Linked DNA regions of Lonchura striata. The protein of the gene in region 1 purifies or fractionates together with the protein of each later gene. This does not show direct contact. Links are inferred from orthologs where the notes say so. Each region holds a gene or a part of one and is shown in the gene's direction. Other genes may lie near its edges.

What was found.
Region 2: the proteins of EP300 (region 1) and CHD4 purify together in Homo sapiens (affinity purification with western blotting; 4 studies listed by BioGRID, with this or other methods). This does not show direct contact. The link is inferred for Lonchura striata from reciprocal best matches to the Homo sapiens genes EP300 and CHD4.
Region 3: the proteins of EP300 (region 1) and MCM3 purify together in Homo sapiens (affinity purification with mass spectrometry; 3 studies listed by BioGRID and IntAct, with this or other methods). This does not show direct contact. The link is inferred for Lonchura striata from reciprocal best matches to the Homo sapiens genes EP300 and MCM3.
Region 4: the proteins of EP300 (region 1) and SOX9 purify together in Homo sapiens (affinity purification with western blotting; 3 studies listed by BioGRID). This does not show direct contact. The link is inferred for Lonchura striata from reciprocal best matches to the Homo sapiens genes EP300 and SOX9.

The regions. Positions count from the first base shown.
Region 1 is NC_134607.1:24,936,517-24,943,566, forward strand, and holds the start of EP300 (histone acetyltransferase p300), read left to right. Parts: upstream 1-4,031; 5' UTR 4,032-5,351; coding exon 5,352-5,445; intron 5,446-7,050. UniProt on the Homo sapiens protein: Functions as a histone acetyltransferase and regulates transcription via chromatin remodeling. Acetylates all four core histones in nucleosomes. Histone acetylation gives an epigenetic tag for transcriptional activation.
Region 2 is NC_134604.1:29,474,610-29,482,263, reverse strand, and holds the start of CHD4 (chromodomain-helicase-DNA-binding protein 4), read left to right. Parts: upstream 1-4,641; 5' UTR 4,642-4,710; intron 4,711-5,219; exon of another isoform or gene 5,220-5,234; intron 5,235-5,491; 5' UTR 5,492-5,566; intron 5,567-6,381; 5' UTR 6,382-6,450; coding exon 6,451-6,547; intron 6,548-7,654. UniProt on the Homo sapiens protein: ATP-dependent chromatin-remodeling factor that binds and distorts nucleosomal DNA. Acts as a component of the histone deacetylase NuRD complex which participates in the remodeling of chromatin.
Region 3 is NC_134605.1:110,349,673-110,356,710, reverse strand, and holds the start of MCM3 (DNA replication licensing factor MCM3), read left to right. Parts: upstream 1-4,026; 5' UTR 4,027-4,247; coding exon 4,248-4,328; intron 4,329-4,783; coding exon 4,784-4,896; intron 4,897-5,452; coding exon 5,453-5,661; intron 5,662-6,211; coding exon 6,212-6,342; intron 6,343-6,533; coding exon 6,534-6,772; intron 6,773-7,038. UniProt on the Homo sapiens protein: Acts as a component of the MCM2-7 complex (MCM complex) which is the replicative helicase essential for 'once per cell cycle' DNA replication initiation and elongation in eukaryotic cells.
Region 4 is NC_134621.1:10,674,897-10,682,359, forward strand, and holds the start of SOX9 (transcription factor SOX-9), read left to right. Parts: upstream 1-4,447; 5' UTR 4,448-4,837; coding exon 4,838-5,268; intron 5,269-6,087; coding exon 6,088-6,341; intron 6,342-6,657; coding exon 6,658-7,385; 3' UTR 7,386-7,463. UniProt on the Homo sapiens protein: Transcription factor that plays a key role in chondrocytes differentiation and skeletal development.

The DNA.
Region 1 (7,050 bases):
TTTCAGAGACACTCGAAGGGCCACAGGGTTGTGGGACAAATCCTGCTGAGGGGAAGCAGGGAAGTTTCATTTGTATAAATTATTTCCTGAGCAGTATTAGGGAGCAGGGGAGGCTGGCTGGGTGAGTTTGAGATGTTACACTGCTTCTCTATCCAGCAGCTGGAAGGGGAAGGCCACAGTCCCAGCTCCCTCTGGGCCGAAGGAGATTATTATTCCTCTGCCTGCTCATCCCACTGAAGCTGGACTGCTGAGCTCTGGGCATCACATTGACCTTTGCAGTACAAAGGGATCTTATCTTGTTCTTTGTAGCCCTCAAAGCAGCTGGGCATGCTTACAAATTTCAGTAACTACCAGCTAAGGCCAAACAAGATCCCACGATAAAACTTCAAGGCTCTGCATTCCTCTCTTATTGCTTTCCTGAGCAGATTCTCATTTTAACTGGACTTATGGTCCTTTCATCCAGTTATCTTAAAGTACATAATGACTACTGTAATTACTGACATTAATGAGCTAATCAATTCTTCTAGGCATTATTTTCAAGGGATAAATATTACTATCCTTGCTGTAAGAATGGGGAAACTGAAGCAAAGAGAAGTTTTTTGATGAATAGGTGTGTTTTACTTTTAATATTATAATATCCTCCTGGTTTTATTTTTATAGGTTTATGCATTTTCTTCTTAGTATGCTTTATGTTGTTATTGCTTTCCAGTAATGTTATCTGTCATGGGTTGTGTGCATGTACCAAGGTTCATTTAAGAAAACTGCAGTGATTTGAGAAAACTTAACAGATATTGAATAGTTTTTTGTCATTGTTTATATATATATATTTGATTTATCATAACCCTACTTTCCTGGCTTTTCCTTTACTTCCTCCTTCTTTTATTTTTGGTGCCTTTTTAAGGAAAATACCACAAATAACATTCTTTTCTATTTATTTTCCATATACTTCAGCTTGCATTTAAATCTCTAATCTGGAAAGCCATCTGAATATGACCTTTTAATGCCTAAAGAACTAAGATATTCTACTGGGTAGGAAGCTTGCAAAGCAGAACTATAGCTTTACTGAAGTATCAGTTAATCACTTATATATATATAATTAATATTCAGAAAACATATGTTGGTTTGGTAGCATTTATGTAAGAGTTTAAGTTTTCCACAGTTCAGGTATGCATCCCTGAACCCTTTTCAAGGATAGACAGACAGGTAGCCAGACCAGAGGGTAAACTGCAACAAAAACAAACAACCAAACAAACACCCAACAAACAAACAACTTTATTTTGTTTGCCAGCACAATTTCAGGTGAACTGAATGGTAGGATCTAGTCTCTAGATAGGAACAAGTGTCTCAAAACTCTTATTTGAAACATTTTATTTGCTCCCAACTTGTTGTTTAGTAAGGGCCTGACTTCTAAAAGCATTTAGGTGTTTATGTGCACTTCAGCATCTTTAAAAAGCCAGCACTAATTCCTTATTGAACTGTAGACTAAGGGTCTCCAGTCTGACAATTTTATATTGACTTATTTCAGTCAACTTCTAATTCTAATGAGACCAAAAAGTTAGTCTCAGCTGTGTTAAAAAATTGCTTCACAAACAAGAGAAACTGTCAATCTGAAAAAAAAGCAACAACAAAAAACCAACCAACCAAACAAAAACCCAAAAAACAAACCTGAGGTAACATAAAATCTCTATAACTGGCATATTTTGGGAAATTTAGAAACAATAAAAGGCAAAAAACCTGTGAAAACCACTAACATAGTTTCTAAGGTGTCACTGTTAAGTTTTAGGCTGTTAGTCCTGACAGCTTTAGTTTTGAGACTTTGAGACTTTTTGCACTACACATTATTTTCCCGAGGCTTATTTGTAGCGGCAAGGCTCTCTCCACCTCTCTTAACGTAGTGCCTATGCATTCAAGAATTTTCAGGAAGCCTAAATCCAATCTTTGGGCATTTTTGGAGTGGTTTGTGTTTTCCTTTTTGCGCTGGGGAAGACAAGAACAATCTTGTTTAAAATAAAACCCAAACAAGGGAAGCTGAAGAGTGGGAGTATGTGAGGGAGCTGGTGAATAACTTACAGGGCTGTGAATCTCCTCCTGCCTGTAGGCTCCTCTTGTAGGCTGCAGTATTGATTCTGTGTTTAGTCTAGGCTCTTCCCAAATACCTGCTGTGGCTCTTACGTGGATTGCAGAGAGCTCGTCCCTGAGGGTGAGCGGCAAGGGAAGTCCTCCTCGCAAATGTCCGGTTTTGGATCAACACCCCCTGATTCTCCATCCAAAACATGCACGTGCCTGCATTTCCCTTCCACTCCTATCTCGTAATGGTGTGCGGCCCGACGGAGTCCAAACGCACCGAAGGGAAATGCCGGGATCGGGCATTTCCTCACGGATGAGCCCTCAGAGATTTGAGGAAAACTCGTGGCCCGTAACCTGTGGGACGGCTCGGGGGCTGAGAGGGCTGGCGGAGGACCGCGCCAGTGTCACCTATGCCTGCGACAGCCCCTCTGATGGGCGGGAGCGCTGTCAGGACTCCGCGGTCCCTCGTACCGTGCCCTGCGCCATCCCCGCCACACGCTGGGGTCCGGCGGAGAGCGCGGGGCTTGTGGGCTTATTTATCCTTTGGCGTTTGGGGATTTTTGTCTGTCTTGTAACGCCGACGGGAGCCTGAGGCAGCTCTGGGCACCCCCGGGATGGGCAGTACAGAGCGCCGCCGGATTAGGAGGAATTTATTCACAGAAAGGGCAGTTAAACATTGGGAGCTGCCCGGGGAGGTGGTGGGGTTTCCGTCTCTAAGGGTGTTTAACGAAAGACTGGATGTGGCACTCAGTGCCATGGTCTGGCTAACATGGTGGTGTTCGGTCACGAGTTGGACTCGATGATTTCAGAGATTTTTTAATCTAATTGATTCTGCGATTGTGTGATTCGCACATCCACTCGCCACTTCGGGGGCCTCGGGGTGCGGCCCCGCTGCCCAGGCCCTTTGCTGGCTGGCCGGGTGCTGCCATGTCTGTGGCGCAGCACGGCCCGGGACCGGCGGCAGGAGGGCCCCGCCCGCCGGCGCCGCGGGGAACCGGCCGGGAGCCGGCGGGCGGGAGGGAAGGAAGGAGGGCAGCGAAAGAACCGCGCTCTTCCCGCCGGCGCCTCAGCCCACCGGGCCGGGCAGCAGGCACCGGGTGGTGCAGCAGCAGACCGGAGCGCCCACAAGGTCCGGCCAGGCTCCCCTGGGCCTACGCCGCGCACTTTTGGGCCGACAGATAAGGCCGTATGGGGCGGGGCAGGAAGAAGGAGCCTTTTTTTTTTTTTTTTTTTAAGGGAAAAACCCTTCGCCTTTAAGGGGCGAGGCCAGCGGAGTTTGCGGAAGAGCCCGGAGAGAGACGAGCGCTGAGTGGGTAAGCGCGGTCTCGTGACGGCGGCTGGGGCGGTGCCACGCCCCCCACCCCGCCGGCGCCCCGCGTTCCATTGTGTGCGCTAACGCCGCCGGGCCCCGCCCCGCCGTGTCCCCGCCCACGGGGCTGACCACGCCCCGGTGGCGGCCCCGCCCCCCGTGTTCTCTTGGCTCATTTCCGGCCGCCGCCGCCACCGCCGCTTCCCTCCGAGGGCTCGGGAGAGCGAAGGAACAACAGCCGCCATTTTGTTTGTGTGTGAGCGACGGAGGGAGGAGAAGGGAGCGAGAGGCCGAGCCGGACGGGGCGAGCCAGGGGGAGGGCAGCGCACAGAGACCCAGGGGCACGGACAGGGGACGGGGAGAGAAGCGAGGAATCCAGACTCCCCTCCCCCCCCCAACCCCAGCCTGCCCGTCCCCTCGCTATTCCTTCTCTTTCTGTTTCCTTTTCTCTCTTCTCCTTTTCCCGGAATTCTCTCTTCCCGCACTGCCCTCCGCCCCCGCTTTGCCCGCTCCGCACACACGCCCCCGGAGCGCCAGGCAGGGGCAGTAGGGAGCCTGCGCTCGGCCCCCGCGCTGCCGCCGTCCCGCCCCGGCCCCCCCCGCGGGGCAGCGCCGGGGACCCCCTCCCCCGCCCGGCCATTCCGGGGCGAATCCCCCGGCCTTCCCCGCCGTGATTTTTCTCCTGTTTTATTATTTTAATTTTACCTCTCGATCCTCTTCTCCGAGGGGTAGCTTGCGCGGCCTCCCCTCCCACCCCGACTTCCAACCTCTTCGCTCCCTTCCCCACCCTCGCAGAGGCGAAGGGGGAGTCCCCACCGCGCCCGAACAACAGCCGAGGGTCTCCTCCCTCGCTCATCGCGCCCTGCATCGCCCGTGGGTCCGGGGGAGCTGGGACGGGCAGCCCCCTCCCTGCCACCATCCTCGGCCGCCCGGGAAGGGGGAAGGTAGGCAGAGAGGGCGGGAGGGGCCGGCTTCTTCTTCCTCCTCCTCCTGCCGCTGCTGTGGGATCGGCCCCTCTGCCTGCGCCGGAGCGGGGGGGCAGCCTGCTACTGCGAACGAGAGAAAGAGGAAGGGGGAAGAAGAGAAAAAGAGGGGGCAGAAGGGGTGTTGAAACCCGCCCCCCACCTTCCCATCCCGCGATCGGTGCTGCCTCCATCAGGACAACAACCCCTCCTCTTTGCCTGCACAACAAGATGTGAAGCGGAGACTCCTGGGACTTATCCTCACCCTCCTCATCCTTACAGCTCCCCTTTCTGCAGCCATTAGCGACGGGCGAGGAAGAAGCGAGTGGAGCTGGGGACCCCGCGCACGCTGTGCCACTCCCCCCCGCCGCCTCCCCCCCAGCCCTGTCGCTGGCGGTGGGTATTTTTTCGCAGGGTGGTGTTGGAGGGGGAAGGAGCCGCTGCTAGAGGACGGTGATCTTTTTTTCTTTTTTCCTCCTCCTCTCCTCTCCTTCGCCCGCCTCCTTGTGGCGATGAGGAGGAGGAGGACGGCGCCGAGGAGGAAGAGGCTGATGGCGGCGGTGAGGAGGCAGCAGGAGGAGGAGACCCCCCGAAGGATGAAGATGATGATGGTGGCGGCGGCGAGGAAGCACCAGCACAACAGCCGGGATTAATTTTACTAAAAAAAAATTAAATATTCACCAGCCTCCATTTTTAATTTTTTTTTCCTTTTTTTTTTTTGGCGGGGGCTTTACCTGCTCTTCCCATCTTCGTTCAGCCCTTTCGCCTGGGGGAAGAGGCCTCACCCCCGCCCGCCCCAGCTCCCACCTCTCCCAGATTCTCTGCTGCCGCCCTCCCAGAGCCCGAGAAGCAGAAAAAGGGGAACTTGGCCCCCCTTCTCCGCCAGATCCTCCTCCTCGCTCTCGGCCTTATTGTTGTTCTTCAGCTGACTCCGGGCCCCAGAAGACCGTGAAGGTTTTGGGGTTCACCCCCCACCTTCTTTCTGCTCTGAGCGATTGTCTAAAAAATTAAAAATGGCCGAGAATGTGGTGGAGCCGGGCCCGCCTTCAGCCAAGCGGCCTAAACTCTCCTCACCGGCGCTCTCCGTGTCCGCCAGCGACGGCACAGGTCAGTCTCGGGGCCCCAGAGCCTCCCCGCTTCTTGGTGCCGCAATTACTGCCCCTTTCTCCCCTGTTTTGCTTAAATCTCCTCCTCCCTTTTGCTGCTGTTAGCTCGAGCCTGCTTTTCTCCTTCCCGTCTGTTTCGCCTGTTCTCGCTCCGTTTGAAGCTATTTGCGTTAATGGCATAGGGAGGGTGTTCGGATGTTTTTGCCCTTCTGGTTTTTTGGAAGTGATTGAGAGCAAAGCTATTCAGTTTATTGTGCTTTTGATCAGCTGCAGATAGGACTTAACAGTTCGTCATTTTCGTGTCTTTCACAATAATAGCTTAGCTCCTTGCTAAGCATAATGCCAGTTGCAGAAATACGAAGTGCTAAAGACGATGCTTTTGTACACTTTATTGTTGGATTACGTGTGTGCGCACAAGTTTCTTGGTTTTGTATTTTATTTTGCATATACGGGGTTCTTCTAGATCTTGTTTAAAAACGAGATTTATTTCTCTTGCTGTTTTTCTTTTTTCTTATATGCAGTCTGCATATATGATTTACTTCTTACAATCCTCCGTTCTTCCTGTAGAAGTGTATCAAAATACTGCTTTTCTGATTCAAATAGACCATCGGCTTTAGGAAAAACAGCTAAAACCAAAATTCAGATGCCATGCTTGTGGCATAAGGTTTATTGAGACTTATCTTCTTAGAGATGAAATTTTATTTCACCTTATTTGCCTTAAGAATCAATATGGAGTGTAGTTAATCTTGCATCTCCTGTTTCTTTGCTGCAAGACCAAAATGTCTGAAATTCCCCTGTAGACTTAAAAGCTGTGAAGAGAAAAGGGGCTTCTCTGCAGTCCTGCCAAGGTCTTTGGTGATGCTGGGAAGGCAAGCTAGGACATGGAAATTTTAGGTGACCCAGTCCCCAGCAAATATTAACTGGTTGTACTGGGAATGGGGAGGAAGTAACAAAGGGCTGTTTTTTAATATTTCTTGCGAAGCAGATGAGTATTTGGTGTCATTTTGCTATGAGAATACTCTGTTACCTGGAGTTTCTTTGAACTCTCATTAGTTCCCATTAGATCACATTAGAAACTATTAACCTATGGGATATGGAGGAGGCCTCCTCCTCCTGCCAGTCTGGTGAGTGGTGGCATTTCTGAAGGCACCCGTGCTCTTGTTCAATGCAGTTAACAACTGGCAAGAAAAGGGAAGAGTTGTTTTCTTGTTGTTGGTTTTTGGGGTCTTTGTTTTGTTTTTTCTGAAAAGAGATTTTAATAGCAGGTCTTTGAGCAGTGGATGTGGTTCTGCTTGGGATCATCTCCAAAATTTTGATTTTGCCTATTCTATTCTCGGTGAATGATGTATTAGTTTTGAAAAGTTTGTGTGTGACTTTTAGTGCATATTAAATACAGCCAATATTATGTTGTAATTGGAGGACATGACTATTCCTAACATTAACAGGTCTCTAGTAAGAGAGTAGAAGAGGGTTGGAGAAGCTACTCTTAAGCGAGAACTAGTTGTTGGCTGTTTTTTTGCTAGATTTGGAAAACAGTGATTAATTCAATAGTAACCGTTTTAAATTTGTCTTGATAGTGGTTATTTTGCTCTGTTTAGAGAGGTGA
Region 2 (7,654 bases), on another chromosome or scaffold:
AAAAAAAAAAAGTGAAAATAAACGTGGAAAATTCGAATCTGACTATCTGATGTCTGGCAAAGTTCTGAGTAACTGAAAACAGACTTGTGATGGAAAATATCGAGTAACCTTAGCTATAGGTGTCAGTACCAAGTATGTGATGTTTTTTAAAGCAAACAAACCAGCGAAGCGCACACAGATAGAGATCAGCCGTTCTGATTTCCAGGGGGCTGAGCAACCCCCAATCCTCTCTGTCTCTCCCCCACCACAGTTGTGTGCAGCCAGCGCTGCCTGCTGCACCGTGCACATCTGGCTGACACGGTGCGGCACGGCCACGCTGCTCTCCCTGCCCCCTCCTTCTCCTGGCAAAACAGGAGACGAGGCTCATGACGAGTGCCGAGCGAAGTCTGAAATGCTCTTCCCCTAACGGGAAGTAGACGCAGAGTCACGCTGGCGTATGGGCAGCCCTCACCTAGGTGGCTGTTTAGAGAGTCGATCCTCCATTGACAGTAGGATGTTCTCAGAAAAGGAGCACATGTTCTTGACCTTATTCTGGTTGTATGCTCCAAAATCCTCTGTGTGCAAGTCTCTATCTGTCTCTTGTTCCAGTGGCATTTGTCTACTGAAGGAGCAGCTCCTTGGACACGACAGGAAGGGCTGTCTTCTCTCCACAAGATGAAGAGACTTTCCTGTGTCATTTTCTGACAAAGTAAAAATACTTCCATTGGGTTAAACAAGTAAGCTCATGCTTTTCTTTGAAAAAGACCTCACTCAAACTAAATAAGGGGGGAAAAATAGAAGGGGGTGCATGATGAAGAAAACAACAATGAAAATTGGTCATTTAGATTTCCTTAGCTTGCCATGGAGACTTTGTAGAAAGCTGGGAGTGGATAAGTGTATCCTGGGCAGAGGAAAAAGCTTTTGTAGTGTTGGGGGAGACTTGCAGAATCCAGAACATTTACTTTGGCTATTGCTGGGGATACAGAATTCTCACAAGATAGTTTAAAATGGGGGCAGGGAGACTTGGTTGTTGAAGAGACACAGATTCTGGGACAATACTCAGATACTGAATGAAAGTTTGAACCTTTTCCTTGCTAATTCCAAAGTAAAAATTACCTATCTCAGAGTTCGATACCCACTCTCCACTCAAAAAAATTATCTAGGGCAAAATTCTCTGCTTTACCAAAGAGAAAATAAAGGGCAAGGCTTCTCAGAAATGCTGGGATCTTCAGGGTTCCTTTGCAGAAGTGGCAAAACCTTAGTTCAGTCATGGCAAGCCTCAGTATGATCTGGAAAGCTTACAGGGCTGCTGAGTGGCAGACATGAGAAGTAAGACCATCCATATTAGATACAAACAGTCAAAACTAGGTTAAAGGAAGAGGTGAAATGTAGCTGCAGCCTTTTCAGAACAGCACCACATTCACAGGTACATCGGGGGCTGCCAGTTTTACGCAGACACTGAAAGATATTTTTCATGTTACTGGTTGTATGTAACTTGACAGTAGAGATATTACAGACTGGCTGGAGCAACCCTCAGTCTGAAAAACAGCAAAAATGAAGAGAACAGAAGTATGGCTGTGTCCCAGCACACAAATGAAGCAATACAGTGGCAGCATTGCGGTGCCCAACATCTAAACCCATCAACCCGTCTGAATTGTTATGGAACGCAAGAGGAACTGACAAAAAATAGCCTGAAAGACCATAAACCGATCTTTCAGATCACATTGTCTGCAGCACCAGCATGGCAAGCTTGTAGTCTGTTATCTGTGTCCCACATACGAACGGTCCATGCTAGGCTGGAGAGTCTCCCCCTTTCCAAAATGCTCTGGGGTTCCTTCCTCCCTTGCGTCCACACTGAGCAGCACTGAAATACACAGGACTGAATTTTCCAGCCTACAACCCTGAGTTCCAGAGTGAAACAATGTAAAAAGCTTTGTTCTTCTTGTTACCTTGGGGAAAGATGTTTAAAAGGGAACATAAATGAAAAGTGAAAGTGAGAAAGGGCTGTGGGCCTGGTAAAAGCCTGGACAGGGGCAGCTGCCCACAAGGTAGAGGAGGATGGGGCAGGACTCTTCTGGGTCTCGTGCAGGGACCTGAACCCTGACTAACTTAGACCACACAAAATGACAGACATTATTTAGAGGTCACCCCAGCTTGTTGCTGGGAGCGCAGAGTACAGAGTCCACTTTACCCAGTTCTTGGAAGCAGAGCTGGGCAGGGGTGTGTGGAAGGTCCTCTGGCCAGTTTGGGTTTCCCAACACGGGCGCAACACCAAAGCAAGATGTTGCAGGCATTTTCCCCATGGGAAGTATGCTGGGGGGTTGTTTTGGGGTGTTGACACCCATCAGCACAGGTAGGGTAAGATTGAATTACACAGATCTTACTGTAATTGTTTCCAAGCCAAGTGCTATAAACTCAAAAGATTCAATTAAACTGGGTAAGTAATTGAACCACAGTAAGGTATGGCAACTTCCAAGTTTAAAGCAGCCAAATAACTGGAAATCTATCTCATGGAAATCTATCCTTTCCTCATCAAAGGAAAATATTTAGAAATATATATATATTTAATCCATTTAATTTACTTGGCCCTCACAAACAGTAGAAACATCTTGATCATAATCATGTATATCCCATATGGAGTTTTTGTTTTGAGGGAAAATTAAGATTTCTGCTGACTAAGAAACTTCAAGTTAAAAAGGAAAAAAGGAGTTGGAGCTGAGGTGGGGAACCTTGGGTACACTTGGGATAAAAATGTACTAATTTGTCATGCAGAGAAAGATTTCAGGGAGGTGGTGGCTCATTGGGAATGAGCCTTCGGAGGCACTGGGGCACACATTGCCTAAAACCATTAGCAAACAGCCTTCTTCAGACCATAACCATGCTGGCAGGAGCCTTGGGAATCACCTGCAGAGAGCCCCAGCACCTGACTCCCTTTGCAGGATCTTCATCTTCATCTGCATCACACCTCTCCCCTTGTGGCCAAGCCACTGGGGAAAGAGGCAAATATGGAATTCATGGGCACTGGTCGGTGCTGGGCTGCTCAGCTCGGGAATTTGTCTGTCTGCCTGGCTCCTGTTAAGAGGGGATTGTGTCAGCACACACAAGAGGGAATGAGAAGTCCTTGCAGAGATCCGTGTGAGTTTGGTGGTGGTGTCGTCCACCACACGTTTCTGTAGCGCTGGATGGTCTGCTTGATCTATGCGAAGGATGGAGCATCTCTGGAAGAGCAGTGTGCTCTTTCCTACCACTTTTCCTCCATGGAGCTGAGATAAATGAGAGCATCATTGTCATGTGGGCAAAGGTATGTACAGGGATAGTACAGGGTGCGTGCTGCTGATGGCTGGAGAGGTAGGTGGGATTTTTGTATGTGCAGGAACATGGATTACACAACAGCCTGTTGGGATGTATTGGTCTAGTCTTTGCTGAGAGGCGGGAACAAGGGCACGGGAGGCGCAACTCGTGCTGTGGAGTGGCTGCACACGTACTGTGCATTGTGGAACTCTGCGGGAGCACTCAGTGGAGATGGGCACATGGATGTGGTGGTGGAGCCTGGTGGTATCTCAGCAGAGTTGCCAGTGCGAGGCGGTGGTCGGAGCCTTCATGCGCAGGTAAGGGAGAGCTTGCCAATAGCCAGAGCCACTTCGGCACACGGCCGAGGGGATGGGATGGCGTTATGGAACACCTGTGTGCGTGGATGTATTTTCAGTGAGCTTTAGCAGACAAAGCCCGGCTTGTGTTGCAGGATCTGTAAGCGACTTGTTGCTGTCTGTAAACAGCCAATCCTCCTCTTGTGTTGCGGCGTGTTTCGCTGTGGCGGGACGAAACGTGCACATGCACCACCAGGCGTGGGACAGCGGAGGCAACGAGCGCAGTTGTTGACACCCACACATTTTACTGGGAGAGACGGACAGGACTGCACCTCTTTGTTGAGATTAATAGTGCTATGAAAATGCTCAGCGGAGGATAAGGCGGCATTATGGGATGTGATTTTGTTTAATGGGAAATTAATGATACAGTTGCATGTGTATAATTGGAGTATACTTACACCGAGGGACCGTTCCCGTCTGTGCAAATCTATGCGTTTCCTGGTGGAGGCTGCAGCAGGGAGCAGGGTGCTGGGTGACAGGGAGGAATGCGGTACATGGACATGGCGTGTATCACAGAATCACAGGATCAGTTAGGTTGGAAAAGACCTCTGAGATCATCAAGTCCAACCTTTGGCCAGACACCACCATGGCGCTAAGTGCCACATCCAGCCTTTTCTTAAACAGCTCTGGGGATGGTGACTCCACCATTTCCCTGGCAGTCCATTCCAATGCCTGATCACCCTTTCCATGAAGAAATTCCTCCTGATGCCCAACCTAAGCCTCCCCTGGCACCGCCTGAGACTACGTGCTCTCGTCCTGTCTCTAGTTGCCTGGGAGAATGCGGATCTCTGGGGTAGGGAGTTCTGCAGGTACCAGCAGCCAGGAAGCCTCGGGGTGCAGGGGAGGCACCCAAGTCACTGCGGGCTCCCCGCACACAGGCTGGCGGTGGCGGTGACCGCCGGGCACGGATGGCCTTGGAGGGGTCCTGCGGCCTGGCGGGCGGAGCGTGCGGGCTGGGGCACGGCAGGACGTGGCAGGGAAGCGAGCGGGGCGCTCAGCCCCGAGGTCGGGGGCGGTCGGCGGTGGGAGGGCGGTGCCCGGAGCCTGTGCCCGGGGCCGGTGCCAGCGCGCAGGAGGGCGGGAGGTGCGCGGCGGCCGCGCGGTGCCAGGGGTCGGCCCCGTGCCCCGTGCCGGAGCGGGGGCTGGGGCGGCGCGGGCCCCGCGGTGCCGGCAGGGCGGGCGGGGGGCGGCGGCGGAGCCCCGCGGGTGCGGGAGCGGGGCGGGCGGCCGCGAGTATTATGGGATGCCGGGCTGGACGGTGACTCCCGGCGACTATTATGGGATGCCTGCCTGGGCGCGAGGCGGGGGGGGGGGGGGGGGGGTGAGGGGGGAGGTGTGACTATTATGGGATGTGCGCGCTCGGGGTGTGACTATTATGGGATGTTCCGGGGGGGGGGTCCCCACAGCGCGCGCTCCCCGCCGGAGGGGGGACGCGCCTATTATGGGATGGCAGCCCCGGGAGGCGCGGGGGGGCGCCGTGCCCCGGGGTCCCGCGCGGGGCGGGGGGCAGCACTGTGGGATGTTCCTCGGCGGGGGGCAGCACTATGGGATGCGGAGCGGAGGGGTGCGAGCCTGCGGGAGTATTATGGGATGTTTCTCGGGGTGAAGGTGCGGGCGGGGGGGGGCGGCAGTATTATGGGATGTTACCGGCGGGAGGGGTGGCGATTATTATGGGATGCCGGGCCGGGCAGTGAGTGGGAAGTTCTGAGGGGAGGGTGAGTATTATGGGATGCCGGGGGGGGGGGGGAAGGGGGGGTGTGTTTGCCGGGGAGACGGGGGCGGGGCCTGTTGCCGGGGTCCTGGGGCATATTATGGGATGTAGGCGGGAGGGGGCGGGGCCTAGCCGGGTTTTTTTCCCCTTTAAGAGGCGGTGCCGCGGCCGGAGCCATTTTCCCTTCAGCGGCGGCAGCGGCGAGAGAGGAGCCGGGGTCCGGAGCCGGGTGAGGAGCCGGGAGGGAACGAGGGCGGGCGAGGCCATCTGCCGCCTCCTGGGGCGTCCGGGCCGGCAGACGCGTCTCGCCGCCGGCCGCCCCGCCGGCTCCGGCCGCGGCTTCCCCGGTTACGCGCCGTTCCCCTGCCCGGGCGGCCGCAGCACGGCTCCGGCCCCTCCTCCCGCCCCGCAGCCGCCTCGCCGGTGCCCGCAGTCCCGGCCTGCGCCGGCCCCGGGGCACGGCGGCCCCTCGCCGCACGCCCGCCGGACTTGCCCGGCCCCGCCCCGCGCCCCCGCCCGGGAGACGGTGCCCCCCGCCCCCGCCCTGCGCCGCGCGGCCCCGCTCCGGGCGGGGGCGGCGAGCGGGGCGCCGAGCCCGCCCGGCCTTTTGTGTGCGGCCGGGCCGGCGCTGCGGTGCCAGCCCGGGGCTGCCGGCCAGCGCTCCGCGCTGACAGCCGCCGCGCTGCCCCCGGGGCTCCCTCGCGAGCCCGGCTGCCTTGCTTGCCCCTCTGCCCGCTCCTGGCTCAAGGCAGAAACAACCGAGGGCACCCGGCTGCAGAGGACGGGAGAGTTTTCCTTTAGGACAGCTATTTTGGCTTCCTCGCCAGCGATGAGTTGCTGACTCAGTTTAATATCTAGTGTCTCCAAAGCCTGCTTTATCACAACTCTAAACTGATACTTGCTGCCAGTGATTCTGTTATCCATAGGCTCCAAAGCCAGTAAAGTTGCTGTCTAAGCTTTCTCACAGATCCTCTTAGTTGCACTATTGCTCGGGAGAACGGAGTTCAGGTTTGCTGTAACTTTCTCTTTTTCTTTTCAATGAAGTACTGGCCAGGCTGGCAAGAAGACGACAGAAAACCTGTGTAAGCCCAGGCCTCCCGCGGTGTGGAGGACATGGCTTCGGGCATTGGATCTCCATCACCGTGCTCAGGGGGCAGTGATGATGATGAGATGGAGATCCTGTTGAACAACGCTATCCCCCAGCATCCAGGTATGGGGGGGCCTGCAGGGCATGCATGTGCAGTGGGGATAATGTTGGTCTCAAGCTGAATATGTGAAGTGTGTGATGTGTTGGGGAATGCAATTTTTTTTAAATTTTTTTTTTGTTGCAAGTCACACGTATGTTTTTGATTTCTGAGTCCCAGGGTTACTTTGAAGTGAGAGGCTCGAGGCTTTGTGTCAGGTGGAGCTGACTTTGTTCCAAGCCATTGCAGGCTGTCAGGGCCTGTGCTTGGAGGAGGTGTAGAGGGTGGAGGCAGAGCGTCCAATTCTGACCGGGGTACCAAAATGCTTTCAGTTTTCATGAATGGGGAGGGGGTAGAGGAGGTAGTATGTGAAAGGGCAGGTTGCCTGGCTTGCTTTCATCTGGGAACTAAGACCGGCTGACGTCCAGAGAAAACTGCCCTGGGCTGTTGCGTGACCCACTTTCCTTCATCACCACACCCAATTATTGAGGATTCTTACTCCGTGCTGCTTGCTCACCTTTGCTTTTTTTTAGTCCTTGTATTTTGCTTTTCCCCTTGTATTTGCATCCTCATCATCAACATGAGGCTTGAGTTAGAGCCCTGGAATTTCTTCTGGTTTGCGTTTTTTTTCTTGTTGCTGCTATTGATGACCTGCTCTGTGGACATGCATCTGGATTCTTCACTTCCTTGTGAAAAAGGAGTGATGTATATAGTCAATTGTAGGACAAGTGTGGGATTTCCTACTAACTCATGCTGGAGTGTTTTGTCATATATGAGAAATGTAACTGGAGGAGGGAAGATGGTGCTGTGGAGTTTTGAATTTTTATTAGTTTGGCATTTTTTTCTTAAGCCTTGTCTCTTGAGTTTTCCAGCACCTCTGAGATCTTGGGCAGTATGGGACTATCAGTAGTGAAAATCTATTTGCAAAAAAACTGGTAAAATCACTGCAAAATTGAGAGGTTGAGGGAGACCTTGGAAGGGGTGGGTCATTAGAGGCTCTAAATCAGAACTTGGGGGAGAAGGTGTGTGATCCTTGAAGGACCTGGTGTTGCAGTATCACGGGAGCAAAGATACATCCATTGGTTGGGAATATGGCAGGGATCAGGCGTGGGACTCCAGGTTCTGAGACCTCT
Region 3 (7,038 bases), on another chromosome or scaffold:
GGTTGCCCCCTTCCTGACCTTTGTTGTTGATTCAGCCACTCCTCTGGTTTTATTTGAAATTCAGTTGTCCTTATGCCCGCAGGCAGGGCCTGTGTGGGTTTGTTTTGGTTTTCTATTAATTGCTGTATTTTCCTCCTGCACAGCAGGAAAACAGAATGAACACCCACGGGATCTGGGGTAGCTGTACATCAGGAGCAGGATCACAAGATTTTATGTTCCCATCACTGTGTTAGGAGCATGCTAGAGGCATCTGGGAGGAAAAACAGATCCATATGCTCTGGGCTCCTACTCTGGGAAGAAAGAAGGTGGTTACAGCCCATCCAAACACACTGAAGGTCAGAGCTTTAACTCCTTACCCACTTTCCTGTGCTCTCCTGGTCAGATACCAGCAGCTCCCTGTGCCTTTCAGTAAAGAAATTCTATTTACACACCCTGATAGTAGTTTTCCATGTTTTCTTCTCCACAATTAGGAAAAAAACCCAAGAGCTAGAACCGTTTAAAGATTTACCAGAGTGTGTGGGAATAGCAAATATTTAAAGAAAATTATGTCAGAAATGCCTGAGCTGGGTGAAGATGCAAAGGGGTGAAATTCTCCAGCCTATGTAAGGGAAAAGGTCAGGAGAGAAGATTAAGAAGGGCCCCTTCAGCATTAAATTATTTGTGAGGAGAGTCAGGACAACACTCTGCTTTTGAGAGAGAATTCATGCCCCGGTTAGGGTTCAGCTCCTGCAACTGTAGCTTCAGGAGAGCCCAGTAAATATAAATCCCTTTAATCCCTTGGAAAATGCAAAATTTACCCTGATAAAGACATCTCATAGGTGGTCTCCCTTCTCCACATAATTTCAGTTCTAAAAAGTGACTTTTTTCCATTCCAAACATTGCATTCTGTGTTATTATCTTTCTATTTATAACAAATAGATTTGCAGCTTCCACTCCAGTGTGTTGCTTGATGATCAGGTGACACTCCATCAAATTTGGGATATTCTCCTCCCATTTTTGGAGCTACAAATGAACCACAAGCCTCTCTCCTGCCCTTCATGGGTGAGGCAAGGCTACTCACTTCCTACAAGGAAAGCGAATAGATGGCAACTTGATAGTTGAGCTGTGGCTTGAAAAGTGACATTTAGTTAAACTAAGAGGAAAAAAAACCCAACAAACAAACTAAAAACAACAGCAGCAAAAACAAAACCCCACAACGTCCCAGAATCTCAGAAGGATCACAGGGTACCATTAAACCTCAGAAACCGAGTCATGTGGATGCTGACACACAGAGGTGTGAGGAAGGGATGGGAAAATCCCTTAAAGTGCTCCGTGTGCAATTCACCCATGGATGCTCCTGCATCCACCCTTGAGCTTTCTGTTTCTCTGCAAGCCCTCCAGACCTGGCCCTCTGCGTGCTAAGTGCTTAATTCCTGTTTATTTTTTCCAGTGGATAGGAAGTGCTAAACGTCCCTGTGAGCTTGCGCTGCCTTTCCACCCTGTAACCTCCGGAATGCAGCAGGGAGGTGAACCCAGGGGGACCTTGGGCACAATCCTGGGGAGTCCCAAAAGCCAGGGAAGGCTTCTTGCTTCTTCCCAGCCTTCTCCCCCTCTCTCCATCCCTCTGTCCTCCTCGGCCTGCCCTGCTCCATGAATTATTCAGGCACGCAGCAGTTGCTATAGGGCAGGGCGCTGTCATGAATAACAACAGCGGCTATTTTTATCCCTAACTCCTGTTACCTTTCAGGCAGGAGCGGTGGGGCCCTGCCAGCTCCTGGCAGGAGGAAAAGTGCAGCCATCCACGTCTCTGCAGGCTGGGATTCGTTTTGACCATCCAAATGTGGGTGAGATCTTGTGTATTCTGCATAGATGTGCCTGAATCCCACCCTGGTACCCGCTCTGTGCTCTACTCACGGGGTGCTTTGCACCCATATTTTATTTTTTCCACCCATATTTTATCTGCAGCAGAGCATGCAGACTGTCCATTGCTGGATTTAATATTCTGCCTGCTGCAGAGGGAGAAAAAGCGTCTTAGAGGGGAAATCTTGCAGTGGATTCTGGCAGTTTATATGGGATAAATCACATTTCCTTTATGGGCTTACACAGATTCCTCCAGCCAGTTTAGATTCTCAGCAGATGATTTGCCCATTAAAAAAAAAGTAAAATATAAAGTAGAAATAGAAATAGATAGAGATAGAAATAATATAAAGAAATAGAAATAGAAATAGAAAAAGAAATAATAGAAATAGAAAGTGCCAGGGGCACGCCAAAGGTTTTCTCTGTTCATTCTTTGTGCTTTCTCCACTCAGGAAAACAAGAAATGTCCAGCAAATCAGAGGGAAGGGGTGGATTTGAGGAGGAGCTGGAGGGAAATGGGTCCTGCTGAGTGTGCAGAAACAGGGAAAATATTCCAGCCGCAGGGAACATATCTGGAGCTAGCAGGGCAACCTGGAAGATTAAAAAAAAATAAAAAAAAAAGAAAAATGGAAAGGAAAAAGAAAATAAATTGAAATAAAAAGGGAAAGGAAAAATAAAAGAAGAAAAGGGGACAAGGAAGAAAACAGCAGCAGAGCATAAAATCCTTTATTTCTGCCAAACTGAATACTGCAACAAATTATTCCAGAGCAGGGCTAAAAGGTCTAAAAAGGAGGTCTGAACTTTGTGGAAAAAAAAAAAAAATTAAAAAAAAAAAAAATAAAAAAAATCTCTCAGGAACAAGACAAATACCCTGGACGTGGACTGCACGTATCCCAGACCAGAGTTGCCAGACGTTTCCAGTGAGTGATCTGATCCACACAAACAGAAAATGGGAAACGGGGCAAAGGCTGTTTCCTGCTCCTCTTCTGAAACACCGATCGATCGCAGCTGCTCCCTCTGGAGAGGAGGGATCTGGCAGCGGGAATTCTGTGCCTCAGCCCAGCACACCCCGGGGTGAATATTTATTCCCAGGATTACTCTGGAAAAACTGCTGTGAGCCACAATATCCAGGGGACACCGCCAAGTTTGTGTGCCTGGTATGCCTTGCTGATCAAAACAGTTTTGTCATGCTTTTTATTCTTTTCCTGTTTTTAAAGAGGAGTTTAGATAAAGATTTTTAAGGGATACTGCAGTGGTTATTTTAAGGAGGAGCTGCAGGTTTCCCTGTAGGCAGAGGCACCTTTGATTCCTGCCTACAATAGGAATTCCTCACTCCTCTTAGGAGATTTAAAGGAGGCTTGGAAAAAAGAGGGAAAGGGAGTTTTTACACAAGCAGATAGTGATAGGACAAGGGAGACTGGTTTTTAACTTGCCAGAGGCCAGGGTTAAGTGGAATATTGGGGAAGAAAATCCTTCCCTGTGAGGGTGGGGAGGCCCTGGCACAGGGTGCCCAGAGAAGCTGTGGCTGCCTCTGGAAGTGTCCAAGGCCAGGTTGGACGGGGCTTGGATCAGCTTGGGATAGTGGAAGGTGTCCCTGCCCACGGCAGGGGTTTGGAATAATTTGCACTTTAAGGTCCCTTCCAACCCCAAAAATTCTGAGATTCTAAGACACATCCAAAATCGTCTTTTCCATTCCAAATACCACAAGACCTGTCCATTTTGGGTGTTTATCCCCAGACTGCTGGAGGCACACCGGGGCCACGTTAAAGGAAAAAGCAACACCCACCCAGCCTGTAGGGGTTGAAAACACCCGGAAACAGAGCTCACCAAAATACAACATAAAAAACAAAATCCTAAATTAGTTTTTAATTAGTTTTTATTGGACTTTTCTTGGTTTGAGATTATATCTGGGTGGGTTTGTTGTTTTCGTGTTTGCTTTTTAATTTTTTTTTTTCCTCCTAAAGCGGCATTTTCAGTCCCTCGGCGACTTCCAAGAGCCGGAGCCGGGATCAAACCCCATCCCCGGTACCCCTGGCCCCGCCCCCTGCCCCGCCCCCGCGCGTTGATAAGCTAAGCGTACTGTCTATCACTGTTTCGCCACCCCATTGGCTAGCGGTGGGAGATGCCGACCAATCAGCAGCGCCAAGGGGCGGGACGGGGGCGGGTTTCCCGCGCGGTGGCGGGAAAGGAGCCGCGTTTGGCGCGAAACGGGAGCGCGGCGGGGGCGGATCGCCGGGGCCGGATCGCATCGCGGGGCCAACCCGGCTTCCCCCGTCTCCTCTCGGCTCCTCTCGGCTTCCCCCGGCTTCCCCCGGCTCCTCTCGGCTCCTCTCGGCTTCCCCCGGCTCCCCTCGGCGCTCACTGCCTTCCCCGGCAGCGGCGGAGGGATCCGTCCCAGGGCGGCCGGCAGAATGGCGGCGCCGGCGGGCGGGCTGGAGGATGCGGAGCTGCGGGAGGCGCAGCGCGATTACCTCGATTTCCTGGACGATGAGGTGAGACGAGCTGGGAGGCGCGGGTGCTGCGTCCCCTGCATGCCCCCGGGGTTGGGGAACACCTGATCCGTGTCCCCATGTCCCCTTCTCCCTGTATCCCCGGGGATTGGGGAGCATCTCATCCCTGTTTGCCCCCGCCCCATGTCTACTCCCGAAGTTGGGGAACACCTGGTCGCTGTTCCCGTCCGTCGCCCCTGATCCATGCCCCCGGGAACTGGGAGCTACCTGATCCTCCCCGCCATGTACCCCAGGGGGTTGGGAGCCCCTGGTTCCTGTGTCCCCCCATTGCTACCGGCTTTAGGGAGCACCTGGTCCCTGTGTTGCCCCTTCCTGCTTGCCGGTGGGATGAAGGGGATCCAGCTCTGCAGGAATGGGCTTCTGAGGGGTTTTTCACACAGGCGGACATGCAAAGTGAGTTGATTTTTGGGTGTGTTTCACTCCACTCCCACTTGTAGGAAGACCAAGGGATTTACCAGAGCAAGGTCCGGGACATGATCAGTGACAACCAGTATCGGCTCATCGTCAACATCAACGACCTGCGGCGCAAGAACGAGAAGAGAGCCAGCAGGTGGGTGTGGGGCAGCTGGGACACTGTGCTTGTGAGGTGTTTCAGAGGTCCAGCCCTGGTTCTGCAGGTCATTTGTCACAAGAAAGCACCAGACCTTGTCCTCTGGTGAAAGCCAGGGTTTCCCCAGCCTCACAAGGAACAATTCCTTTTCAATATCCCATCTATTCCTTCCCTCTGGAAGCATGAAGCCATTACCCCTTGTCCTCTCCTTCCATTCCTTTGTCCCAAATCCCTGTCCAGCTGTCTTGGAGTCCCTTTAGGCACTGAAAGGGGCTCTAAGGTCTTCTCCAGGCTGACCAACCCCACTTCTCTCAGCCCTTTTGAGGATGCTCAAGAATATATTGGACTAGCCTGGTCAATCTGGCTTTTCAGATATTCTTGGAATCTTTCTCCTATTTGCTGTTGGTGCCAGTGCACCTTGCACAGAGTTGTGATGGATTTCATGTTTTTTCACCTCCTGCTCCTGGAAAACTTGTCGAGCAAGTGGGGGAGTGGGGAAAAAGTGCTGATGAGGAAGGGGTTGACCCACCTGCTTTGTGACCTCCCTGTGCTGCAGGCTCCTGAGCAATGCCTTCGAGGAGCTGATCGCCTTCCAGCGTGCCCTGAAGGATTTTGTCGCCTCTGTCGATGCCACCTATGCCAAGCAGTACGAGGACTTCTACATCGGGCTGGAGGGCAGCTTTGGCTCCAAGCACGTGTCCCCACGGACACTGACAGCCTGCTTCCTCAGCTGCATCGTCTGCGTGGAGGGCATCGTGACAAAGTGTGAGACTGGGGTGTGGAGGGGCTGGGGGTTTGCTGTGGAGGAGCTGGAGACCTCCAGGAGCTGTGGTGTGGAGAGGGACTTGGGATAAGGATCTGGAGGGACAGGACAAGGGGCAATGGTTTTACTCTGACAGAGGGTAGGATTAAATGGGATACTGGGGAGGAATTCTTGGCTGTGAGCAGGAGGAGGCCCTGGCACAGGTTGTGCAGAGAAGCTGTGGCTGCCCCTGAATCCCTGGAAGTATCCAAGGCTAGGCTGATTGGGATAGTGGGAGGTGTGTTTGCCCATGGCAGGGAATGAAACTGGATGATCTTTAATATTCCTTCCAGTCCAAACCATCCTATGATTCTGTATCCTGGCAGCCTGGGCCAGGGAGCTTGGCTGAAGGTCTTGAATGTTGGGGTGGTCTTTAAAATCAGCCAGTCCTGCCCATATTTGACAGTGAGTTGTGACCCAAGTAATCTTAATGTTGGAGACCCGTTTGGGGGCTGCCTGCTGACAGAGGGGTGGGACATCCCAGCCCCTAACTCCTCTCTTTTCCAACCCCAGGCTCTCTGGTGCGTCCGAAAGTTGTCCGCAGTGTCCATTATTGCCCAGCTACCAAGAAAACAATTGAGCGCCGATACGCAGACATGACCTCCCTGGATGCTTTCCCATCCAGCTCCATCTACCCTACAAAGGTGAGGTGAAGCAGCAGCAGGTTCCTCTAGGGAGGATGTGCCAGCTTCAATATGGAGCTGGTGATCCCCAGCCTCCAGTCCTGCTAAACAACCCTTTCCAGCAGCCTTGTGCAGAGTGGGTGATGCACCCTGTGTCCTCCCTGCTCTTCTGAAAAATGGTGCTCATCTTTTCATTTGGCTTCCTGCTTTAGGATGAAGAGAACAACCCACTGGAGACAGAGTTTGGCCTCTCGGTCTACAAGGACCACCAGACCATCACCATCCAGGAGATGCCTGAGAAGGCCCCGGCGGGGCAGCTGCCACGCTCGGTGGATGTGGTTCTGGACGATGACCTGGTGGACAGGGTGAAGCCTGGGGACCGCATCCAGGTGGTGGGGACATACCGCTGCCTGCCAGGGAAGAAAGGGGGCTACACTTCAGGCACTTTCAGGTGGGTCTTCTGGGGCTTCAGCCCTCTCACCTTGTTTGGCTGGGTCTCTGGAAGGTGAAATCTGGCAGCTGACCACCAGAGAGTTGGGTCAAACAGTGGCTTAAATCACTTGGAAGTGGTTTGCACCTTGATCCTCTTTAGCAGATATGCTGAGTTGGAAAGGATCCACAAGGGCATCAAGTGCAATTCCTGGCCCTGCACAGTTCACCCTAGCAATGCCACCTTGTTCAGCCCTTGCAATGCCACCTTGTCCAAACTCTCCTGGA
Region 4 (7,463 bases), on another chromosome or scaffold:
CTGCCCTGATCTCCTGTTTTATTCCACTGGATCAGCTGGAATCGGAAATGGGATCGAGGAACTCCACACCAACCCCGTGTCCTGGGATCCCACCAACGCCCAGAGCACAAATTCCACCCCTGCACCGGGAATATTTGGGACAGAGGGAAATCCGTGGCATTTTCCACCTGCAATGGCACAATGTGGGATCCCTGGGAAAAGGGGAAAAATCAAGGAAAAGCTGAAATTCCTGGGAAAACCAAGGACAGGCTGAGCCTGCCCTGCTCACAGTAGAGAGGGAAAAGCCAAAATGTGGGAATATTTCTGGGAATGCAGCCCCGCTCTCGGATTTAATAAAATGTCACTGATGAGGAGGGGGATTTTTAATTTTTATATTAATTAAGCTGCAATTAACAGAGCTGAACCAGCCCTGTGTCTGAAAACGCCGGAGCAAACATTCCTGGATAAATCGCACCTGGAATTTCACTTTTTGGGCCATGGATCAATAATTGATCCAGTTTTGATATCAAAAGTCAGAGTTCGCTGCAGGAGGAGGTTTTAGGGAATTGCTCCAGCCCGAAGGCTCCCGGTTTTCCCTCAGTGCACCCCGGAGCAGGGGACGTTTCCCAGGATCTGCAGCTTCTCCCTGGATTTCTGCCCCACCGGGGGTGGCAGGGCAGGGGCACCGCGGGCCTGGGTGAGCCCCGAGGGGACACGGTGACATCACAGCATCCCTGGGGACACATTCCCAACCCCAAATCCTGGGGGTCAGAGAGAGCCTGAACCTTCCCAACCCCAAATCCTGAACCTTCCCAACCCCAAATCCTGAACCTTACCAACCCCAACCCCAAATCCTGAACCTTCCCAACAGCAACCCCAAATCCTGAACCTTCCCAACCCCAAACCCTGAACCTTCCCAACAGCAACCCCAAATCCTGAACCTTCCCAACCCCAAATCCTGAACCTTACCAACCCCAACCCCAAATCCTGACCCTTCCCAGCCCCAACCCCAAATCCTGAACCTTCTCAATCCCAAATCCTGAACCTTCCCAATCCCAACCCCAAATCCTGAACCTTCCCAACCCCAAATCCTGAACCTTCCCAATCCCAACCCCAAATCCTGAACCTTCCCAATCCCAACCCCAAATCCTGACCCTTCCCAGCCCCAACCCCAAATCCTGAACCTTCTCAATCCCAATTCCAAATCCTGAGCCTTCCCAACCCCAAACCCTGAACCTTCCCAACAGCAACCCCAAATCCTGAACCTTCCCAACAACAACCCCAAATCCTGAACCTTCCCAACCCCAAATCCTGAGCCTTCCCAACCCCAACCCCAAATCCTGAACCTCCCCAAGACCAACCCCAAATCCTGGGGCTTGGAGTAGAGTTCAAACCTTCCCAACCCCAGCCCCAAATCCCAGGGATTGGAGCAGAACCTTCCCAGCAGCAACCCCAAATCCTGAACCTTCCCAATACCAATCCCAAATCCTGAACCTTCCCAACACCAACCCCAAATCCCGGGAATCAGATCAGAGCCTGAACCTTCCCAACACCAATCCCAAATCCCAGGGCTCAGAGCAGAGCCTGAACCTCCCCAGCATCAAAGGGGCTCCCCCAAAAATCCACAAAACAGCTTCTGAAGCACAACTCATCTGAAGCACAACCATATTTTAAATATGGACAGAAAAACCTCCCCAAATCCACCCTCCGGGTCTGTTCCCTCCGCTCCCAAAATTCCCGTCTCCTCCACTCCCTGCACTAACACTTGGAAAGGTTATTCCCTAAAAAACAGGGATTTGATTTAGCACAAGGAGCAGGAAAAGCCCATCAAACGGGGGCTTTAATCCTCACTAAAAACCTGCCCTGAGCTGGATAAAACAATGTTAATTCCAGAAAAAAAGGAAAGGAAAACTTCCATCCTGACGGGAAAGCAGCAGCAGCAGCAGCTTTCAGAGGCAGCTTGCACCCGGCTGTGATTAATCAGCTTGTCCACCTTGTCCAAATAGTCCATCGAGCAATAATTAAAAATAATAAGCCAGAAATTATCAAATCACACACAATAACTGCAGAGCTCCTTCCCCTTTCGCTTTTGTTTATTGTTCAAACTTGTCAAGCCCCTCGCCTCGCTCCGAGCAGCCGAGCAGGGAAGGCAGAGCCCCTTCCAGCAGATGGATTTGCAGGATGAAAAATGTCCTAATTCTGATCCTTTCCACTCAATCCATGACCCTCCCGAATTGTCCCGCTGTTGTTTCTGCCAATCAGCAGCAGGGTCAGGGGACAATCCGTTGTCACCGGGTTTTGCTCCTCTCCAGGTACATTTTGTTCAGATTTTGTTCTGAGATCAGAACAATCTCCTGCCTGCGTTCGCTTGGATGTTCTGCGACAAAATATATTTACTAAATGAGATTTGGGGAGCTAAACTCCAGCATGCACCACCCTAAGAGCTGAGATTACCCAGGGAAAACAATCCAAATTATCACCTGTAATATTTGCTGAAAGTTTACCTTTTTCGCCCCAAACAACAACGCAAAATTCAGCGGCCTTCTCCTGGAATATTGGATATTTAGCAAAGGAAAGAAATACAACTCTGGGAAGAGTCCTCGGTGTTTCAGGAATAAAAAAGCCCCAAATTCCCCTGGAGAAAAGCCCCGCTGTGCTCGCAGTGCCCCTGTTCCTGCAGACAAAGGCTCTGGAGCAGAGCACAGCCACTTACCTTTAAACTCACCCAGAGCAAAACTACTTCCCAAAAAAGTTTGCAAGTGCAAAAAAAAAAAAAAAAAAAAAAAAGTGAAAACCAACCCAAAATCATCACCAGAACCTCAGGGAAAACTAAAACAACCAAGGAGAGGGTTTTGAGTGCGTTTATTCCCAGCTCCTTCCCCACTGCCTTTTCCTTTTCTTTACATTTTATATATATTTCTTTTTTATTCTTTTTTTATTATTATTTTTTCACATGCCCTTTCCAATACCTTGAAACCCCCGTGGTCAGGGTGACGACGACAATCGCGACAGGGCACGGAGGCGGCCGCTGCCCCCAGGATTGTCCGGCCGCACAAAGGCTGCAAATGAAAGCAGCAAATGAAAGCGGCTTCCAGAAAGCCCCAACTTTAACGCTCGAGTTGCACTGAAAAATTCTGGGCTCCGGCTTTGGGAAAGGAGCGGAGCTCGGAGGTTTCTGCCCCCGAAAGGCGCTGAGAGCACAAGGAAGGAGGTTGGGAAGGGGTGCAGCTTTTTGGGCAGCTCCCACCAAATCCCCTTCTCCTGGAGCCTGAAAATCCAGGACCTTTCTCGCCCACCGGGATGGGGATCGCAGTGCCAGCCCCGGGTTCGTTCGGAGCCGCTCCGGGAGCCGCTCCGGCTGCAAACGGGACTCCGGTAAAGCCCGGGATGTTTCTGTGAAGGGAAAGAGCCGCAGTTACCCACAGATAACCCCGGGCCGCTCTGCGTTCAGACACTGATCAACTCGGCCAAACTTTTATTTTTGTGGAGAGGGGGAGGGAAGAGGCCGCTCCTTCCCCGGGCACGGCTCCAGGCCGGGATGCGGGACCGGGATCGGGAACCGGGATGGGGAACCAGGATGCGGCACCGGGATGCGGGATCGGGATGCGGGACAGGGATGAGGAACTGGGATGAGGAACCGAGATGGGGGGAACCGGGATCTGGGATTAGGATGAGGGATCAGGATGAAGAACCGGGATGCGGGACCGCGATGGGGAACGGGGATGATGGTCCAGCAGCCCGATCCGGCGCAGGGAAAGCCGCGCCGGGGCCAGCGGGATGGGGAATAACCATAAAAAGAGGAATAAACGGGGAACGCGCGGATGTCGCAGCACGGGGTGGGCGGAGGGACGCGCCGGACACCCCATCCAAAAAGCAAAAAGAATAAAGAAAAAAAAAAAAGTAAAAAGTTTTAAAAGGAGAAGAAGCGAAAGCGCAGCGGCGACTTTGGGGTGCCCGGGGCCGCAGCCCCCGGGGCCGGCCCCGCTCGGTGCCCGCGGTCCCGGGGGCGCGCCCGGCCCGGCCCGGCCCCGCCGCCCCCCGCGCGCCGTTCCTGAGCCTCTGGCGCCCCCTCGGGACGGAGCCGCGCAGCGCCCGCGGCCCCGGCGCGCTCCGCTCCGCGCGTCCCGCCCGCCGCCAGCGCGGCCGCAGCGGCCCCGCCGGGCCCATCGGCGGGGAGTCCCTCGGCCGCCCGCGGGGAGCCGCGGGGCGCCGCCGGCCGCTGTCGCCGCTGTCGCCGCTGTCGCCGCCGCCGCCGCCGCTGTCGCCGCCGCCGCCGCCGCCCGTCCCGTCCCGCCCCGGCCGGGCCGCGCCCCCCGCGCCGCGCGGCCCCGCCCCCTCCCGCGCGGCTCAGCCAATGGGGGCGGAGCGGCCCCCGCGGGCCGCGCGGTGATTGGGCGGCGCGGGCGGCGCGCGGCCCCGCGCCGGGTATTTGTGCGCGCGGCGCGCGGCGGGCGCAGAGCCGCGCTGGAGACCGGCGGGGCCGCCGCGCCCGACTCTGCCCCGGCCGCTCGCCCCGCGCCCCGTCCTGCGCTCCTCCTGCTCCCCGCCTCGCCAAAGCTTCTCCCTGTCCTCGCTTCGGAGTTTTTTGGTCTTCTTACTTTTCGTTAATTTTTTTTTTTTTTTTGGCGTTTTTGTGCTGAGGAGAAGTAATAAAAAGTTTTTGGTTTGTTGTTTTTTTCTTTTTGCGAACTTCTCGCTGTTCTTCTCCCTCCTCTCCGCCGCCGGTGGAGACTTTGTTTCTCCGAGTTTTTACTTTTTTTTAACCCGTCCCTGCCCCTTAGCGCCTAACTTTTTTATATTTTCGATTATTAATTTTTTTTTTTTCGCCCCCTCGTTCCCCCCTCGGCCACTTTCTCGCATGAATCTCCTCGACCCTTTCATGAAAATGACAGAAGAACAGGACAAATGTATCTCCGACGCCCCCAGCCCCACCATGTCGGATGACTCCGCCGGGTCCCCCTGCCCCTCTGGATCCGGCTCGGACACGGAGAACACCAGACCCCAAGAGAACACCTTCCCCAAGGGGGACCCGGACCTGAAGAAGGAGAACGACGAGGACAAGTTCCCGGTGTGCATCCGGGAGGCGGTGAGCCAGGTGCTGAAGGGCTACGACTGGACCCTGGTGCCGATGCCGGTGCGGGTGAACGGCTCCAGCAAGAACAAGCCGCACGTCAAGAGACCCATGAACGCCTTCATGGTGTGGGCGCAGGCGGCCCGCAGGAAGCTGGCGGACCAGTACCCGCACCTGCACAACGCCGAGCTCAGCAAGACCCTGGGCAAGCTCTGGAGGTGAGTGCGGGGCCGGGATGCCCGCGGGGAGCGGGGGATGCGCAGCGCGCTGCGCCCGGGGAGAGGATGTGGAAAACGCGCTGGAAAACTTCTGCGGGGTGCAAAACTTGTTTAGGTCGGGGAGAAGCCAGAATAGGAGCGGGGGAAAGTAGGGAAAGTCGTTCGCCTTGTGGCGTTGGAAGTGGTTTCTGTTCCCGGAGCGGGCGGACGGTGCGGAGCCCCCCGGGCTGCCCCGGCCGCTGTTTGTTTGCGCTGCCGGTGCGGAGGAAATGATGGATTTTGGGGATTGCATCAGCTCGGGCCGGGCCGGAGGGAGCGCGGGGCGATGCGGGGAGGGAGGGAGGGAGGGAGGGAGGCGGCGGTGAGTGGCGCAGGGCCGGGTGGCCTCCGAGTGCCAGAATAAGGCGGGGAAGGGAGGAAAACACGAGGCAAGTGAGTCACCTGGGCCACCGCGTCCTCGGGGACTGCGCGGGGGCCGGGGGACCCTACAGCGGTGACTCGGCGAGGAAAGCTGGCCCTGGCACGCTGGGATGTCCCCAAAGCGCCCGGGGACAGCGGGATGTGCCCACAGCGTGGGGAGGGCTGGACCCCGCTGCAGCTCTGCTCTGGTACCGAAGGGATCTGGGCGACAAGAGGGTGGCAACCGCGGAGTGCCGGGGACAAAGGGGTGACAGCCAGCGAGTGTCCCGGGCAGGGGGTTCAAGTTGTGGGGGGCTGTGCATCGCTCTTGGGGGGATGCGAGGGAGGGATCGGCACCGGTGTCACTGCCCGGCGCCCCCCTGAGCCACGAGTGACCCCGCGCCCCCCGTGTCCCCCCAGGCTGCTGAACGAGAGCGAGAAGCGCCCGTTCGTGGAGGAGGCCGAGCGGCTGCGGGTGCAGCACAAGAAGGACCACCCCGACTACAAGTACCAGCCCCGGCGGAGGAAGTCGGTGAAGAACGGGCAGGCGGAGCAGGAGGAGGGCGCGGAGCAGACCCACATCTCCCCTAACGCCATCTTCAAGGCGCTGCAGGCAGACTCGCCGCAGTCCTCCTCCAGCATCAGCGAGGTGCACTCGCCCGGGGAGCACTCGGGTAGGTACCCGCGGAGCCTGCGGGGGGCACGGCGCGGCTGCCGAAGCCGCAGCCCAAACCGGGCTGAAGTTGGGGTTGGGCGAGGGGAGGGAAAGCAGAGAGCCAGGAAGGGAGTGAGAAGGGGGAGAAGTACCCGCGAGCTGCGCCCAGAGCCTGGGCACACGGATCTCACCCCAGCGTGCCACTGCGGCCACGTCCCCGTGTTTTGCCCGTGGGAAACGCAAACCCACGCCTTTTAAAGCCCGCTGGGACACCTGGAGGCGCGTGTGCCCCGGCCACCGCTGCCACACCTTCACCCCTCTCCTTCCTCCCCCAGGCCAGTCCCAGGGGCCCCCCACGCCGCCCACCACGCCCAAGACGGACCCGCAGCCGGGCAAGCAGGACCTGAAGCGGGAGGGCCGGGCGCTGGGCGAGGGCGGCCGGCAGCCGCCGCACATCGACTTCCGCGACGTGGACATCGGCGAGCTGAGCAGCGACGTCATCTCCAACATCGAGACCTTCGACGTCAACGAGTTCGACCAGTACCTGCCACCCAACGGGCACCCCGGCCAGGTCAGCTACACGGGCAGCTACGGCATCAGCGGCGCCGCGGGCACGCCGGCCGGAGTCTGGATGTCCAAGCAGCAGCCGCCAGCGCTGAGCGCCGAGCAGGGCCAGCAGCAGCAGCAGCAGCAGCAAAGGACGCACATCAAGACGGAGCAGCTGAGCCCCAGCCACTACAGCGAGCAGCAGCAGCACTCCCCGCAGCAGCAGCAGCAGCAGCAGGTGAGCTACAGCTCCTTCAACCTGCAGCACTACGGCTCGTCCTACCCCAGCATCAGCCGCGCGCAGTACGAGTACGGCGAGCACCAGGGCTCCTCGGGCTCCTACTACAGCCACGCCGGGCAGGGCAGCGGGCTCTACTCCACCTTCAGCTACATGAGCCCCACGCAGCGCCCCATGTACACCCCCATCGCCGACACGGCGGGGGTGCCCTCCATCCCCCAGACCCACAGCCCGCAGCACTGGGAGCAGCCCGTCTACACGCAGCTCACCCGGCCCTAAGAGGGAGGAGGGCGTGACAAAAAAATTTAAAAAAAAAAAAATTAAAAAAAATAATAAAAAAAGGGCAGGAAAGTGACG